Mytilus edulis: one gene and its partner. The protein of the gene in region 1 purifies or fractionates together with the protein of each later gene. This does not show direct contact. Links are inferred from orthologs where the notes say so. Each region holds a gene or a part of one and is shown in the gene's direction. Other genes may lie near its edges.

Region 1 (8,322 bases):
ATTTCTTCATTTTTGTGCTGCTGTAAAATAACTACTCCCTTCAATGAAGTGATGATGTTGTTCTGCCGTAATTTTGGTTTATAACATGTTATTGCACTAAACTAGACCTAGTGTAATATTAATGAAATCAAAAACATGTCACTGGAAACAGCATAGGCATGACAAAATGTTATCTGGTTTTTTTTCTCAACTAAATTTTTTTTTCTCTACGCTGTAATACAAGAATCATTCTGTGTTAAATGTTTAGGTTTAAATTATTTTTCGCCGTAAGAAAAATGAATGATTAAGCAAATACAACGCATTTTCAAATACAATCAATATCTCCAAGGTAACTCTTTTATAAAAACGTACAGCACTGATTTTGAAACTTATTAAAGACCTTGCTTGAAAATCTTTGATACAAATTTGACGAAAATCTTCCATAAGAGAACTTTCAATATAATTGTCCATGTAAATAATATTTCAGACGGGAATACATCTTTTTAAAAATATTTGATCGGCACAGATTTTCGAAAATGTCCCACATATATCTGATATAAACTAAAAGTTTAGTTTTTTTTTAGATCTGGCAAGAATAATTATTGTACACGTGAGCGCGTTAATAAGATCAGTCACACGGACGGACGCGCGGTATTTCTACGTGTCCCCCGGAACGCATCCTGCGAGTTTTGAAAATATCGTATCTGTAAATCACTGTCAGATTATTGAATTAAAATCATTATGATAATTTTATTTAAGAATTGAATGCTTTTTTTTGTAACTTCATTGGGGTGTAAAAGCGTTGACCGAAGTACATTTTGTATGAACAAGGAAGCGCTTCATTCTAAAAATGTGCGCACGGTCAACGCTTTTACAACCCTATGAAGTTACAAAAAACGCATTCAATACTTATAATTACATTTTTTAGTTAGGATTATGAAAACACGAATTTTATCAATTTTTGATTTAATTTACCTGTGCACTTTATTGTGGGACCACGTGTTATCATGAATGATAAGTTTTATAGTGTAATGCAATTGCTCAAGGAATAACATGTGATGTGCACTTAGCCAATCATAATAACGTATTATAACGTATTATAATGAAACATACATCTAATGTAATTATATCTAAATATCACATTCACCTGGAAAAAAGATCGATCCCGATCGATCTACCAAAAAAAAGACCGATTCAAATAAAAATTCCTTTTTAAGGTAGCACAATACAAAGATTTTTTCACTCCCAATCAGACAACTTTAAACTGATGCAATTCATTTCATCTTTCTCTATATTTTATAAATGAGGTACCAAAAGAAAGAAGAAAGATTAATCTTTCAAATTGTGATAATTTCATTATGACATAATTATTACATAATTAATTATTATGTAATTAGTCGCTAAATTGTGATGTCCACGCTTGAAAGAATTTAGCGTCTTTGTTCTTCATAGTATAGCCGGGTAAAATGGCTATTCGACTAAATGTAAATCAAGAAGGAATATTCCGCTCCTAAAACTTTTATTTCAGCAGTCCGGCAAGACCGAACAACAAACTCCAAACTAAATGTAATGTCACATACAAACAATAACAATATATATGAGCACAAGCAATTAAAGGATTAAACAGAATAACAGATGACAAATTAGAAATAACAATAGATTAAAAGAGTAATTAATGTCCGACACGTATTTGTGAATTATAGTCTAAACTGTCACAGAGAATAAATAATGAAATAAATAGAGTAAATGCATTTAAGATCTTTGTCCAAGATTATGACACATCATCCGTGTAAAACACTTATGCCTGAATTTACGACAAAGTATAGATTAATAAAATAAATACAAAACCTAAATATACATTTAACAATTGAAATACTAAAATGTTGTTTAAAAACTAATTTCTTTGCACTGTCCAAATAGTCCGGTCATATATTCCCGCGGCCCCTGAAGACACGACCCGGGTCTTAATATCATATTCATCTGAAATTGTTCCGAAAGTTTCTTCTGTGATTGTGACGTCCTCTGTATCGATAGTTTTGATTTGAATGGTTATCTTGTCTTGTATTTTCCCGAATATTGTCCAGTTCGTCTTCTAGTGTTGTAATGCGATTCAACATACGTTCTTTGTCGCGCTGTAATTGATATTGCTGGTCGATGGCTTTACATCTTTGATCGTATATCCGAGAATGAACTGCTTTAAGATCCGTATTGCGTTCCTGTAATTTTTCTATTTCTTTTTTATCATCTGCACCTTGTTTTTGAAATTTTTCTAAATTGCGAATTACACTGTTATGCTCTTGTTTCAGCTCTTTGAATTTCTTTTCGTAATGAACACTTTTGATTTCAAATTTGACTCTCTCTGAATGCACTCGGTCGTACCTGAGTCTAACGTTGTCTATATATTCCTTGTTATAGTCTAAAGTTGGGAAGAAATCCAGGAGTTCTATTGTATTCAGTTCGGCACATGGAAAAATTGACATAGCTTTATTTTCTTTGAAAATTCTCATCCTTTCTGCGTCGCGGCGTAACTTTGATTTAGATTTAACTTTGACAACTTTCACGTCCGGTTGTCTGTTAAAACTACACATTCTGGCGTAATGTCCAAAACTTCTGCACTTATAGCAAAATGACGTTTTTGCTATACATTGTCTAAAATGAAATTGATTGTTTACAGTCTTTCCACAAAACTTACATAGGCAGTTGTCCATATGTTGAAAATTTCTTGTCTGACAGGTAGTTCCATGATCAGGCATCTGGTATCTCCAGTCTCGGCCGAAATTTCTGTTTCTCTGCGTATCCATTTTTCTGTTTGCTGGGGGATCAGCTTCACAGGTAGAACAAGGTATCCGAAAGATGCGTTGCCCGTACGTCCTAACACCAGATATAGCCGGGTAAAATAGCTATTCGACTAAATGTAAATCAAGAAGGAATATTCCGCTCCTAAAACTTTTATTTCAGCAGTCCGGCAAGACCGAACAACAAACTCCAAACTAAATGTAATGTCACATACAAACAATAACAATATATATAAGCACAAGCAATTAAAGGATTAAACAGATTAACAGATGGCAAATTAGAAATAACAATAGATTAAAAGAGTAATTAATGTCCGACACGTATTTGTGAATTATAGTCTAAACTGTCATAGAGAATAAATAATGAAATAAATAGAGTAAATGCATTTAAGATCTTTGTCCAAGATTATGACACATCATCCGTGTAAAACACTTATGCCTGAATTTACGACAAAGTATAGATTAATAAAATAAATACAAAACCTAAATATACATTTAACAATTGAAATACTAAAATGTTGTTTAAAAACTAATTTCTTTGCACTGTCCAAATAGTCCGGTCATAATAGCATCCAAAATATTTTATAGATTCTTGTACAACACAGCTTGACCTCCAAAACTGTGTCTCAGATTTCCAAAAACATCAATAGAACAAATTTTATACCCAATTGAATTTAGCGGTCTCTAATGAATTGATGTTGCAAGCTTCATTGAAGATTTATGAGAGAATGAAATACAAGAGGAAAAATCTCAGACACAGTTTTGGAGGTCAAACTGTGTTGTGCAAGAATCTATATTTTTTTTTAGCCCGATGCTATGAAGAACAAAGAAGCTAATTTCATTCAAGTTTGAACATCACAGAATGGCAACTAATTACATAACAATTAATTATGTAATAATTATGTCATAATGAAATTATCACAATTTGAAAGATTAATCCTTGTTCTTTCTTTTGGTACCTCATTTAGAAAATTTAAAGAAAGATGAGTGGAATTATATCAGTTTAAAGATGTCTGATTGTGGATGAAAAATCCTTGTATTGTGCTACCTTAAGTTCGATTGAGGATCGATCTTACCCGTTTACACTGGACCAAGGATCTTAGTAAAGATAGATCTTTTTGTCATTGTAAACGGGGTCTTATTTGTTTTTGATCGTTTTTCGACTTTGCAATGGAATTGTAAAAAACTGACGAAAGATACAAGGGACATTCAAACTCATAGATCAGAAATAAACAGACTTCGCCATGGCTATATAAAGAAAAAGACCAACAGAAAAACTATAGAACACAAGCACAACATAGAAATCTAAACTGAGGGACGGTTCTGTTTTCAACTTGTGAGGTTAAATATCCCTTTATTATCGCTATTTTGTGCATTTTTCTTTTGATCTTTTTTTGTGATAATTTTCATATCATGCTTCTCGCTTGAGATGGAAAAATTATCGCTAGAAACTAAGGAGGCCACGTGGCGTTGCTAACGAAATTGACATGAAATTGACAACGTACTCATAGGTAAAATAGCGATAAACAGATTATCATTGGTCATCTCAACTCGATTGCTTTTCTCACTTTCGCTGTACCAGCTCAAGCGAGAAAATCAATCTCGTTGAGATGACCAACGATAATCTATAAGTATTGTTCGCCTCTCGTAAACTTTTTTTTTCCAAAGACGATAATACTATATTCATAATCTATATTTATTTGAGAGTAGCGAAATTCTGGTGACTATTGGTATCGTTTTATGTATCATATTAATATGGAGTAATTTATATGTGGTTCTGTTTATTTAAAAAAAAAAGACAAATCTATAACGAAAACTGTAAAAGTATTATTAAGAGAGCGAAGGTGGGATTTTTTTTTAATTTCCATTTAGCATGTTTAGATGTCTAAAAGAAATACCCTACGAAATAGCTGTGTTCTCGGGCCAACAGATTTTTAAAAATCAAATCACATACAATTATTTGAAACCATATGTTATCCTCCCTTTCGTCGCATGAGTTCCTTTCCGCAGTGAGCGGAAACTTTGTAATTCCGTAATTCTGTTATCCGCGTCCGACTCAAAATTTCCTTTATATTTTGAGTTATCTCCCCGTAGTAGTTGGGGAAACGTATTTTTTCTTTTTTTAACCAGATACTGAGAGTAAAAGTGTTTGAGTTACAAGGCTAGATAACAATTTCATACTGCAGTAACAGAATGACTTCTTTCACGTTTCGACCACCGTCATTTCGTAAAAGGTATTTAAAACTATTGAGTTTAATAATAATAACAAATGGACAAAAATGGTTGTTTTTACACAACAAAATTTACTGAAAAATCATATATACAAACATAAATGTATGTTACGGTCAGGGTACTGCTTACAACTAAATGATTACCTTATGAAAGTTACAACAGTCAACACGAAATAATTGTTGTTACTTCTGTCCTGAACAAGGTATGTAAAATATTTACAAATCCTTGTTCTAAACTAGTTGCCAAAATTTGTATATCTCAAGGGCAGATCCAGCCATTTTTAAAAAGGAGTTAAAACCATTTGTCCCATTTTGAACCATTGATCATAAAAAAAAGTAGGATTCCAACTCCAGGTCCCCCAAGTGGCCGATCCAGGTGGTACAGTGGTTGTAACTCTGTTTTTTTAAACCCTACATGTAAATGCATTTGGATTTATATTTGTAGAACTATGGTTGAAATCCCCCCTTTATTCTTGGTTGGGGACCCTCCTTTAATTTCCTTCATTTTTAAAATAGCAGTGGCTATTTGACCGGCACCGGCTAAATAGCAAATTTGCTATTTGACCGGCACCGGCAAAATAGCAAATTTGCTATTTAGCCGGCACTGAATAAAACTGTTCATTGATGTGATTAATAGAGAATAAAAAAGATTAATAATAATTTAAAATCATTTTATCATAATATCAAGCATTAAAAATATAGTACAATAAAAAAAATTATTGAAGATGTTCATAAATAAATAATTTATAACTTTATAATATTAATTAAAAGCATGAAAACACATTTGTATGTAACATTACTAAATATATTTTTTACTTAAAAATATTTATAAAAAATCTGTACTACACATCACTACTCCACATTACCAGATTTTGCTGAACACTTTCTGATCGCCTTAAATTCTTTGCGAACAGAACGAGACCTCAAGACAAGTGGTATATTTCAAAAGAGGACTGTTTCAGCATTCTCCGGAATGATTCACCTGAATATAGATATCAAGAGTTGGTGACACCATATGCTTGGGCATATATCCTGAAACAGTTTTCACTCAGGTCTGAAGTAAAACTGGAGCAGAAAGAGAGATTATATGGACAGCTACAACAAGCCAAGGCCAAATGAGGGTCAATTCAAAAAGTTACTCTTGTATCTTTCATCAAAGTGTGCTTCTCCCGTGTAGGCATATACTCAAACTAAGAGAAGTTAATCACGAAAATTTGTTTGTTGAAGCAGTGTCAGATCGTTGGAAGATTAACACAGTCAGGACATCACATAGATTATTTGATGATACCAGTCAGAGGCAGATTTAGGGGGGGGGGGGGCAGGCCTCCCCCCCTTTTTGGGAAAAAAATGTGTTGCTTATATAGGGAATCATTGAAGCGTGACTGGAGCGGGCCCCCTCTTAGGTCAGTCAGTGGGCCCCACTTAATTATGAAAATTTCTGGATCCGCCACTGCCAGTCATCAGTGTGCTCTATCATACATGTATGTACACCAAAAAGAGTGAGAAAAATTTCTCAAAGCACAAAACACAGGGAGACACAAATTCTGTTACATGATGATGATATAAATGTAACAGACAATAAGGAAAATGATACTGATAATGTTCATTGATAATGTTCATATATTCGAAAAATCACGAAAACTAGTTTCGCAAGAAGAAGAACGAGATACTGCTCAACAAGAAGAACACCTATTGGATTCCAGTTGAACTTTGTGGATCGTGTGTTTCGCATATATTACTTCCACCAAATATGAAGAAACGTGGAAGGCCAAAAGGTTTGACCCAAACTGTCATCGGTCTTCAAAAAAAGAGTACCCGAAAAAGCAATTGTGTGCCATTTCATAAGAAAAGTTCCAAAGAAATCAGGGCATTTTATGAAAAAATGGTGGGTTGAACCTGGTTTTGTGGCATGCCAAACCTCCCGCTTTAATGACAGTGTTAATTACGTGGTTAATTATAACATTAATATGACAACATTACACGACAGGGTTACAATAAATAAACAGATAAATAGGAGAAAATATAGGACAGAGAAACAAACAAACAAAAGTCTTAAAAAGTGTGTCTTAATAGAATCAAATCGGTAATTGGCAAACAGGTTGTTGTAAACATTGATTTAATTATTGTCGAAAAGATGCATGAGAAGCTATTAAGAGCGTTTATAAAGAGAAGAAAAAGAACCCTACCTACATATGCAACATATGCACACATGATGCAGATTCAAAGGAAGCCAGTGTAATGTGAAGTTCCTGTTTGGAGTGGCAACATTTATCTTGTGCTAGATTAAAACAACTTCCAAAGGCAAAGAATTGGTTTTGTAACAATTGCAAATGTTAAATCATGTGTCCTTTTGAAATTCGTAGCAAACAACTTTTAATATTGTCTTTTTTAAGATGTACGGTGTAGTTTTACATAACACTATTTTTATAGCATGGCAGGATATTTAAACCATAGATTTTACACATCTTCAATATTATTATTTTTTATTGTACTGTATTTTTAATGCTTGATATTGTGATAAAATGATTTTAAATTATTATTAAGCTTTTTTATTTTCTACTTATTACATCAATGAAGTTTTATTCAGTGCCGGCTAAATAGCAAATTTGCTATTTTGCCGGTGCCGGTCAAATAGCAAATTTGCTATTTAGCCGGTGCCGGTCAAATAGCCACTGCCTTTTAAAATGGCTGCTCCCCCGTCTTTTGGATCAGCCACTGTTTCTGTATGAAGTACAGGGACAATTTAATATGGGTATTTTCTTTAGATTTAGACAAGTGCCTATTAAATGTACATCAGTTCTGCCAACATTCCATGAAGCAAATGTGTGAGATTTGGCCAAAATTGAAAAAATCAAAGAGAAAAAACAATAGATCAATGGAAAATGGCACCAAAAAAGCATGAACATGCGTGAGTCTAATGCATTTTGGCAGCCCTGGTACATTGTAAACTTTAGTTTTCAATAAGTCTACATACATGTATATATAATTAAATTATTAGAAAAAAGAAATATATTTGAAAAATAATAACCAAAAAAAAAACAATGTTTAGTATACATGGTATACCAACATTCAATTCTGTGTTTTAGTATGTTGTCAACACTCATACTAATGTAATCGCCTTTCCCTAGCTGGAATTCTGAAGAGCTGACCTTGCACACCTAATCAAGTTATAAATCCAATCTTTAATAATAATAAAAGACAGATATTTGAATATTTAACAGTTTATAGATTTTTTTCTATCCAAGTTTTAAATTTCAAGAAAATTTGGAAATAACAAAATATAATCAAAATATAATTTATAATTATCAATGTGTTTA
Region 2 (8,523 bases), on another chromosome or scaffold:
AAAGATAATAAGGTATTTTGGATGACTTGTTATATATGTCTGGCAGGTATTTTGAAATACCTGCTATTACAGGAATTATTCATATAGGTATTTTTTATTACTTGTTATATGCCAGGCAGTTATTTTAACTTTCTATTATCACAATGACACCTATATTTACATAAACTTCATTAGTGATACATGCATGACATTCACAGGGATTTCCAAGAACACTTTGTTTTATCTGTAACCTGGTAACATGTGACTTATTCACAATTCAAGTAAGGACTTACTTTCATACAACAAAGATACCTGTTTGAGCATACTATATTAATTATTGACCCTCTGGAGGTTTGATACTTGTACAAATAAATGTTGTATTAACAATCTAATCTTTTTCACATATAATCTGATGACTCCAGTTAATGCTTGATTATATAATTACCTCCCTTAATACCTATCAACATACCTCGTCTATTTCACACATATATACTGAAGACACCTGTGGATGTTTAACAACCTCCCTCAGTACGCCCCCATCACCTCCACCAATTATCAAAACCTGAAAAGAAAATTTAAAATGATATACATTAAATTGAGAACATGGAGAATGGATGAATGCATGACATGTTACATTTTAGAACTTGAGATAAATTTCAATTTAAATACCTTTCAACATTTTTGTAAGAAAATTAGTATGCATATTATTTGCATACCTGTTTTTCATGTACCAATTTTTGATGATAACTGTGAACCACAAATTCAGATCTTTTTTTTTAAATTAAAAAAAAAAAAATTTATGCAAAAATCACTTAAAAGGGTGACTCTGAAATCACTTGTACATGTATAATAAGTACCCTTGAATGATAAAGTTTTCATATAAAACTTTGATGAAGGTTAAAGATTTTAGATTTTTACATGACTTGGTAAAGAGAACCTTCATGACCTTACATTAATTTAAATAATCATGTGCAAAGTCCACCTTCCCAAACTGTTGAGTATTCATGGTATTACATGTATTACCTTCAGATAAGTGGATCTCCCTTTCCCAAACTGTTGACAAGTAAGGATTATCTTAGAGTAATTGGGCTTCCCTTTCCCAAACTATTCTCTGGTAACGACTACCTTAGGATAACTGAATCTCCCTTCCCAAACTGTTCTCTTGTAAAGATTACCTTAGGGTAATAAGATCTCCCCTCTCCAACAAGTTGACTAGTAAAGATAACCTTAGAGTAATAGGATCTCCCCTTTCTACACTGTTCACTAGTAATGATCACTTTGAAGTAATAAGGTTTCTCCCTCCCAAACTGTTAACTGGTTAAAATTACCTTATGATAATTATCCCCTTTCTTAAACTGTTCACTGGAAAGGATAACTTAGGGTAATTAGATCTCCCCTTCCTAAACTGTTCACTGGTAAGGATAACCTACTAGTAATTTGATCTCCCCTTTGTACACTGTTCACTAGTAAAGATTACTTTAAAGTCATTGGATTTCTCCCTCCCAAACTGTTAACTGGTTAAGATTACCTTATGATAATTAGATATCCCCTTTCTAAAACTGTTCACTGGTAACGATAACCTTAGAGTAATTAGATCTCCCCTTCCTAAACTGTTCACTGGTAAAGATTACCTGAGGGTAATTGGATCTCCCCTTCCTAAACTGTTCACTGGTAAGGATAACCTAAGGGTAATTGGATCTCCCCTTTCTAAACTGTTCACTGGTAAAGATTACCTGAGGGTAATTGGATCTCCCCTTTCTAAACTGTTCACTGGTAAGGATAACCTAAGGGTTATTGGATCAGTATAACGTATCACCCTCTTTAAACTGTTCACTGGCAAGGGTAACATAGATTAATCATGGTAATAGGATCTCCCCTCCCTAAACTGTTTACTGGTAAGGATTACATAAGGGTAATTTGATCTCCCCTTTCTAAACTGTTCACTGGTAAGGATTACATTAGGGTAATTGAATCTCCCCTTTCTAAACTGTTCACTGGTAAGAATTACCTTAGGATAATTTGATCACCCTTTCTAAACTGTTCACTGATAAGGATTACCTTAGGGTAATTGGATCTCCCCTTTCTAAACTGTTCACTGGTACGGATAACCTTAGGGTAATTAGATCTCCCCTTTCTAAACTGTTCACTGGTAAGGATAACCTTAGGGTAATTAGATCTCCCCTTTCTAAACTGTTCACTGATAAGGATTACCTTAGGGTAATTGGGTCTCCCTTTCTAAACTGTTCACTGGTAAGGATAACCTTAGGGTAATTAGATCTCCCCTTTCTAAACTGTTCACTGGTAAGGATAACCTTAGGGTAATTAGATCTCCCCTTTCTAAACTGTTTACTGGTAAGGATTACATTAGGGTAATTGTATCTCCCCTTTCTAAACTGTTCACTGGTAAGAATTACCTTAGGGTAATTGGATCTCCCTTTTCTAAACTGTTCACTGATAAGGATTACCTTAGGGTAATTGGATCTCCCCTTCCTAAATTGTTCACTGATAAGGACTACCTTAGGGTATTGGATCTCCCCTTCCTAAACTGTTCACTGGTAAGGATTACCTTAGGGTAATTGGATCTCCCCTTCCCAAACTGTTCACTGGTAAGGATTACCTTAGGGGTAATTAGATCTCCCCTTCTCAAACTGTTCACTGGTAAGAATTACCTTAGGTTGATTAGATCTCCCCTTCTCAAACTGTTCACTGATAGAGATAACATTAGGGTAATTAGATCTCCCCTTCCTAAACTGTTCACTGGTAAGGATTAACATAGAATAATAGGATCTCCCCTTCCTAAACTGTTCACTGGTAAGGATTACCTTAGGTTGATTGGATCTCCCCTTCTCAAACTGTTCACTGATAGAGATAACATTAGGGTAATTAGATCTCACCTTCCTAAACTGTTCACTGATAAGGACTACCTTGGAGTAATTGGATTTCCCCTTTCTAAACTGTTCACTGATAAGGATTAACATAGAGTAATAGGATCTCCCCTTCCTAAACTGTTCACTGATAAGGACTACCTTGGAGTAGATGGATCTCCCCTTCCTAAACTGTTCACTGGTAAGGATTAACATAGAATGATAGGATCTCCCCTTCCTAAACTGTTCACTCATAAGGACTACCTTGGAGTAATTGGATCTCCCCTTCCTAAACTGTTCACTGGTAAGGATTAACATAGAGTAATAGGATCTCCTCTTCCTAAAAGGTTCTTTGGTAAGGATTACCTAAGGGTTATTAGATCTCCCCTTTCCAAACAGTTCACTTGAAAGGATTAACTTAATGTAATTGGATATCCCCTCCCTAAACTGTTCACTGGTAAGAATTACCTTAAGATAGTTTGATCTCCCCTTCCCAAACTGTTCACTGGTAAAGATTACCTTCAAGTTATTGGATCTCCCCTTCCTTTTAAACTGTTCACTGGTAAGGATTACATGTACCTTAGGGTAATTGGATCTCCCCTTTAAAACTGTTCTATTTGCAAACCTTTTGAGGGTTAGGATGAGAATTCAGTGGTAAATGTGCCAACATTTCTTGATATGAAAATTCATCTCTTTCTGTGCACTGTATTACACCATCTAACACCAAAACATTACCATAAGTTTTACTGAAATAGACAACACTGACATATAATATTTACTGAGTGAAAGAGGGAACCCTTTGACATGTAATATTAACTGAAATAGGGATCACTGACAAATAGTATTTACTGAACATGCTGAAATAGCACTGACATATAAGTTTAACTTTATTAGCACTGATATTTATATATCATTATATAAGTTTTCTTAAATAGCACTGCCATATAATTTAAACTTAAATAGCACTGACATATATATAATTTAAACTTAAATAGCACTGACATATAATTTAAACTTAAATAGTACTGACATATAAGTTTAACTTAAATAGCACTGAATATATAATTTAAACTTAAATGGCACTGACATACATGACATATATATAATTTAAACTTAAATAGCACTGACATATATATAATTTAAACTTAAGTAGCACTGACATATAATTTAAACTTAAATAGTACTGACATATAATTTAAACATTTAAACTTAAATTAATAGCACTGACATATATATAATTTAAACTTAAATAGCACTGACATATAAGCTTAAATCAAATAGCACTGACAATTAAGTTTTAACTTGCAAATGTAAATACCACTGACATATAAGTTTAACTTAAATAAGATTCAAGATTCAAAGTTTTATTTAGAGTCGATATTCAATAAACTACATAACACAAGCTCTAGTGAGCTTTAAAATAGCACTGACATATAATTAAAATTTAAATAGCACTGACATATGTATAAGTTGTTTTGATCTGTTTATCATGTTTATTTGAATAGGTACATGTCCCATGATAGGGTTTCAGGTTAAGGTTAATTATAATTTCACAATTCTGCTTTTATGAAAAATATATATTTTGCTTAAAACCAATAAAACTTGTAAAATAAGAATATTTGAACACCTTTTTTGTTCACATTTTTTCTTCTCAAAATTAGCAAAAAAATATTAGGCTAATGATAAGCTGAATGATTATGCCCTTTAACTTTATTATATATCTAAATATATACACGATTGTTATACATGTTATACTTGTTGTACTAAAAATTGGAAAACATTCATCAAAACCTAGATGTTCTTATTAAAAACTTTGAAAAAGCAAATAATTCTTTACAGCTAAATTCTAAGTAACATTGTATCTTCTTTTATCTTTTAATTTTAGCATTGACTGAAAATGCATCATATAAGATAAAATAACAGTTTGGACACGTGTGTTGTTTATACAGTGAGAGATATAAAATTTTACCTTTTAAATACAATTAAATCCTGATATTTAGATTTTTCATGAAACAACAATTCTTCCACTTGGAGTGACATGCACTGTCCTGGCCATAGTTCACTTAATTCACTAAACCACCCGTCTTTAATTAAATCCATTGGTAATCAGCTGATGAACCGAAAAACGGAAACTGTTAACTTCGGGTGTTCTCTTGGATTTACCAGGTAGACGTAAAAATCAGAGGATTCCAGAAAATGGCCTCCTCAGACGAACCCTTGCCAAAATTCCATGAAAGGGTTGGATCGCTTGTCCAACTGAGTAATGAGAACAGGACAGCACAGAGAAACCATCCCGCCCAAGAGTTCAATAATGGTGTCGCTATTAGCAGAGACCCATTAAAGGAAGACCAATTATTTGAAGTCAAAATAGACAAAAAGGTTGTCCATGTCTCAGCATGTCTTATATTTTTTCTTACTTTGTCAGCGTTTCCCCAGTCCCTTAAACCAATATCAGCCTTAAAATGGTGCGATATGTCTGTGCTAACATTTTAACCAAAACCGTCTGTGCATACCCATAAACATTTGAGTGAAGGGTTGACATGTATGTATGTACTTCGAGATTCCGATAATTTAAACGCACCCCTTGATTGACTGCAAGGGTACAGTGGATCCATGTTCACTCCCTAAGGTTTAATGGAGATGTGTCCTTTACAATATTATCCCACCACCAGAACAATCTCCACCCAACACTGCCCAAGGGAGCGTGTAGGACACAGAGAAGTCTGTTATTATGGTGGAGGAAGCCGAAGTACTTGGAGAGAACCACCGGGCCACTCGGTGGAAACAGACAAACCAGAGAGATATCAGAAGATTGATCTCCAGGTCAAAGTAGGGGACAACTTTGACCAACCTAGGCCCCCAAAGTACTCATTCTAGTTTAAACTCCGGTCTGGGTACCGGAGATGTGTGTGAGAGGGTGAAAATTACCCTTCTGATGTACTGATATTTTTAGCACCCCGAGTGAGAATCGAACTCGGGACCTTTAGCACTGTAGCCATCGGTCTTAACCACTAGACCACGAACTCACATAATGTACATGGTCCAAATCTATACTATTATAAAACAAGAAGACCTCATTTTGTGTGTCGCTTCTCTTCCTTCCACGATAAATTAATCATCATGCCTCTGTGTTCTATATGTAACATGCATAGTCGCATTTGTCATTCATTCTTATGATTATTCAGATTGTGTTATTTTTGGAGAAAAACGAAAAAAAAGGAGTCCGAATATTGATTACGTCATCAGACTGACTTTTAGTCATAGATCAACTTCCGGTTTGAAACACGCACAAGTACAACCAATCGTATGATAGATAACAAAAATGAAAAAATAAATAAGCCAATCAGAGCGTTCTCCATATCATGGTGTTTAGGTCGCCAGAACCACTACTATTATACCTCCTTAGAGAGGACAATTATTTTTTGCGTTTATCTACATGTAAACTACGATTATAATACTTTAATATATAGAGACTCTCTGTATTCTGTCTGCAGTTTTCTTTGAAATATATTACTATTTTTAAAAGGAGTCATACCAGTTGAATATATATTAAAATAAGTAAAACATGTGGAAACAAGAATGTGTCCATAGTACACGGATGCCACATCGGCACTATATTTACTAAGTTTCGAGTTGATTGGACTTCAACTTCATCAAAAACTTCCTCGACCAAAAACTTTAACCTGACGCGGGATCATGAGACGGAAGGATGAACGAACAAACGCACAGACTAGAAAACATAATGCCCATAAATGGGTCATAAAAATTTATTGTTGGAAGTGAAAGTAATGATTTGGCAAAAATGAAAGTAGGGTAGAGATTAGAGGGAGGCAGGACCTTTTTTGGGACGTCGGGGTCGTGTGTTTTAAGCCCGGGATTTGGGGATCGTTTCTTACGGGATCCGGGAATATATTTTTCGATTTCGGGATATGAATTTCTTTAAATTCTGCATCTCAGGATTTCATGTTTTTAAGCCCTGGATTTCGGGATCAGGACCCCTCCGACCACCCTCAAATTGGCCTTAGTCGGTCTTAGTTATTTATACAAGATTCATATCCTACCATTGGCATGTTAACAAGGCTCTCAAAAGAAAAAGCACTTATGGATTGTCCTAGAAGCATATTTTATTAGACTAATAATGGTCTTTATATAAGCAGTTACATTTATTTCATGTTTGAAGTGGTGCAAATTTTTAATTTAATTTGACTATTACCAAAAGATGCATTGTAGCAAAGGAGAAGAATAATTGTGGTCTGAGGCACGAAACACGAAAATAATTGAATTTAACAGAAAGGAAACAAATAATCGGACTTTGGAAAAAGGGAGAGGGCTTTTGATACCTTTTATGAAATTCTCCATACATACATGTAATGTCTCTTACAAAAAATCACCCTACAGCAGTTCACAAGCTGTATATGCACGCGATTTCGTGGGTGTGTTCTAGTATTTATGATGTCTGGCAAGGCAATTTTACTTTTTTCTGTGTTGCCTCCCTGCGTCCCAGAAAAAAATTTAAAATAGCCTTGCCAGACATCGTAATTATTTGGACTACCATATACAGAACATGATCTTCCAGTATCAGTCTTTCACTGAAAAAGATTGTCAATTGAAGACGTCATTTACCAGATAGAAGGCGCGCCTGTATCCCTGCTCTACTAATTAAGAGTGTCCAATACTTTCAGAATCGTCATTCCATACGGTAGCACATGTACCTCAATATTTTATGTTCCGTAAGTATGGAAATTATCTTGATTCCCATACGTCTGGGTGACCATTCTTATTAGATTTAAATTTTCCAAATATTTTGTGCAGTCTAAAATCAAACTTTTTCCTCTGTTTGTTCAACTCGGGCTGGAGGTAACGATGCCTAGGTTTTCATGTTTATGGTCACATGGTGATGGAAGTCATATATGACAGATTCAACTAAAAAAGGTATCTGGAACTGCAAACATGTACATTTGTATATGGTCATAGGCCACTTCAAGTTTGATGTATCATACCTGCTAATCCTCACGTTTTGAGCGGGAGACTCCCCCTTAAATGCCAAAATTCGGGAAATCTCCCGCTTGCCGGTACCCTCCTGTACAGGAGTACAGAATCTACCGTTTTGAATATTTTAACCTTGAATGACAAGTTAACATTAATTACGTTTGAGGGTTGTTTTTACCTGTAAATCACAGACAATGTGTAATTAAATGGCTTCACTTGGCAACTTGGGTGTCAAACATAGTACTAATTAAGGATCATTAACGACTTTTCAATGCTTCAAGCTTTCAAAACACTTCAAAGAAATTTCGGGTTACTTCCCCAGTTTAAACCTGTTTTTTAAGTTTCCCTTCTAAAAATAATGTGAATTGATAAAACAATATGAATTAAATACAAATTGAACAAAGAATCATAAAAGGATGGCAACTAAATAATTTTTTGATGCCTAAGGGGGAAAAAATCACTTAAAAAAAATATACCTCTATTCAATGTTTGAATTGAAATTTATAATTTATTTATGGAACCAAATTGTATCTCTTGTAAATGTGCATACACATACCGTACCATGTAACCATAATCATGATAATAGTTAAAGACATGGAGTACATATATACACATATATTATAGTTGTTTTGATGGGATACAAATGACAAAGATGATGTGAACATGGTGAAAGGAAATAAACAAATAACAC

What was found.
Region 2: the proteins of zinc finger CCHC domain-containing protein 10-like (region 1) and neuralized-like protein 4 purify together in Homo sapiens (co-immunoprecipitation; 3 studies listed by BioGRID and IntAct, with this or other methods). This does not show direct contact. The link is inferred for Mytilus edulis from reciprocal best matches to the Homo sapiens genes ZCCHC10 and NEURL4.

The regions. Positions count from the first base shown.
Region 1 is NC_092351.1:39,843,356-39,851,677, reverse strand, and holds the start of zinc finger CCHC domain-containing protein 10-like, read left to right. Parts: upstream 1-4,840; 5' UTR 4,841-4,967; coding exon 4,968-5,008; intron 5,009-8,322.
Region 2 is NC_092356.1:70,054,904-70,063,426, forward strand, and holds the start of neuralized-like protein 4, read left to right. Parts: upstream 1-5,003; 5' UTR 5,004-5,039; coding exon 5,040-5,222; intron 5,223-8,523. Other genes in the region: spermidine synthase-like, read right to left, coding at 449-541, 3,469-3,589, 4,813-4,943. UniProt on the Homo sapiens protein: Promotes CCP110 ubiquitination and proteasome-dependent degradation. By counteracting accumulation of CP110, maintains normal centriolar homeostasis and preventing formation of ectopic microtubular organizing centers.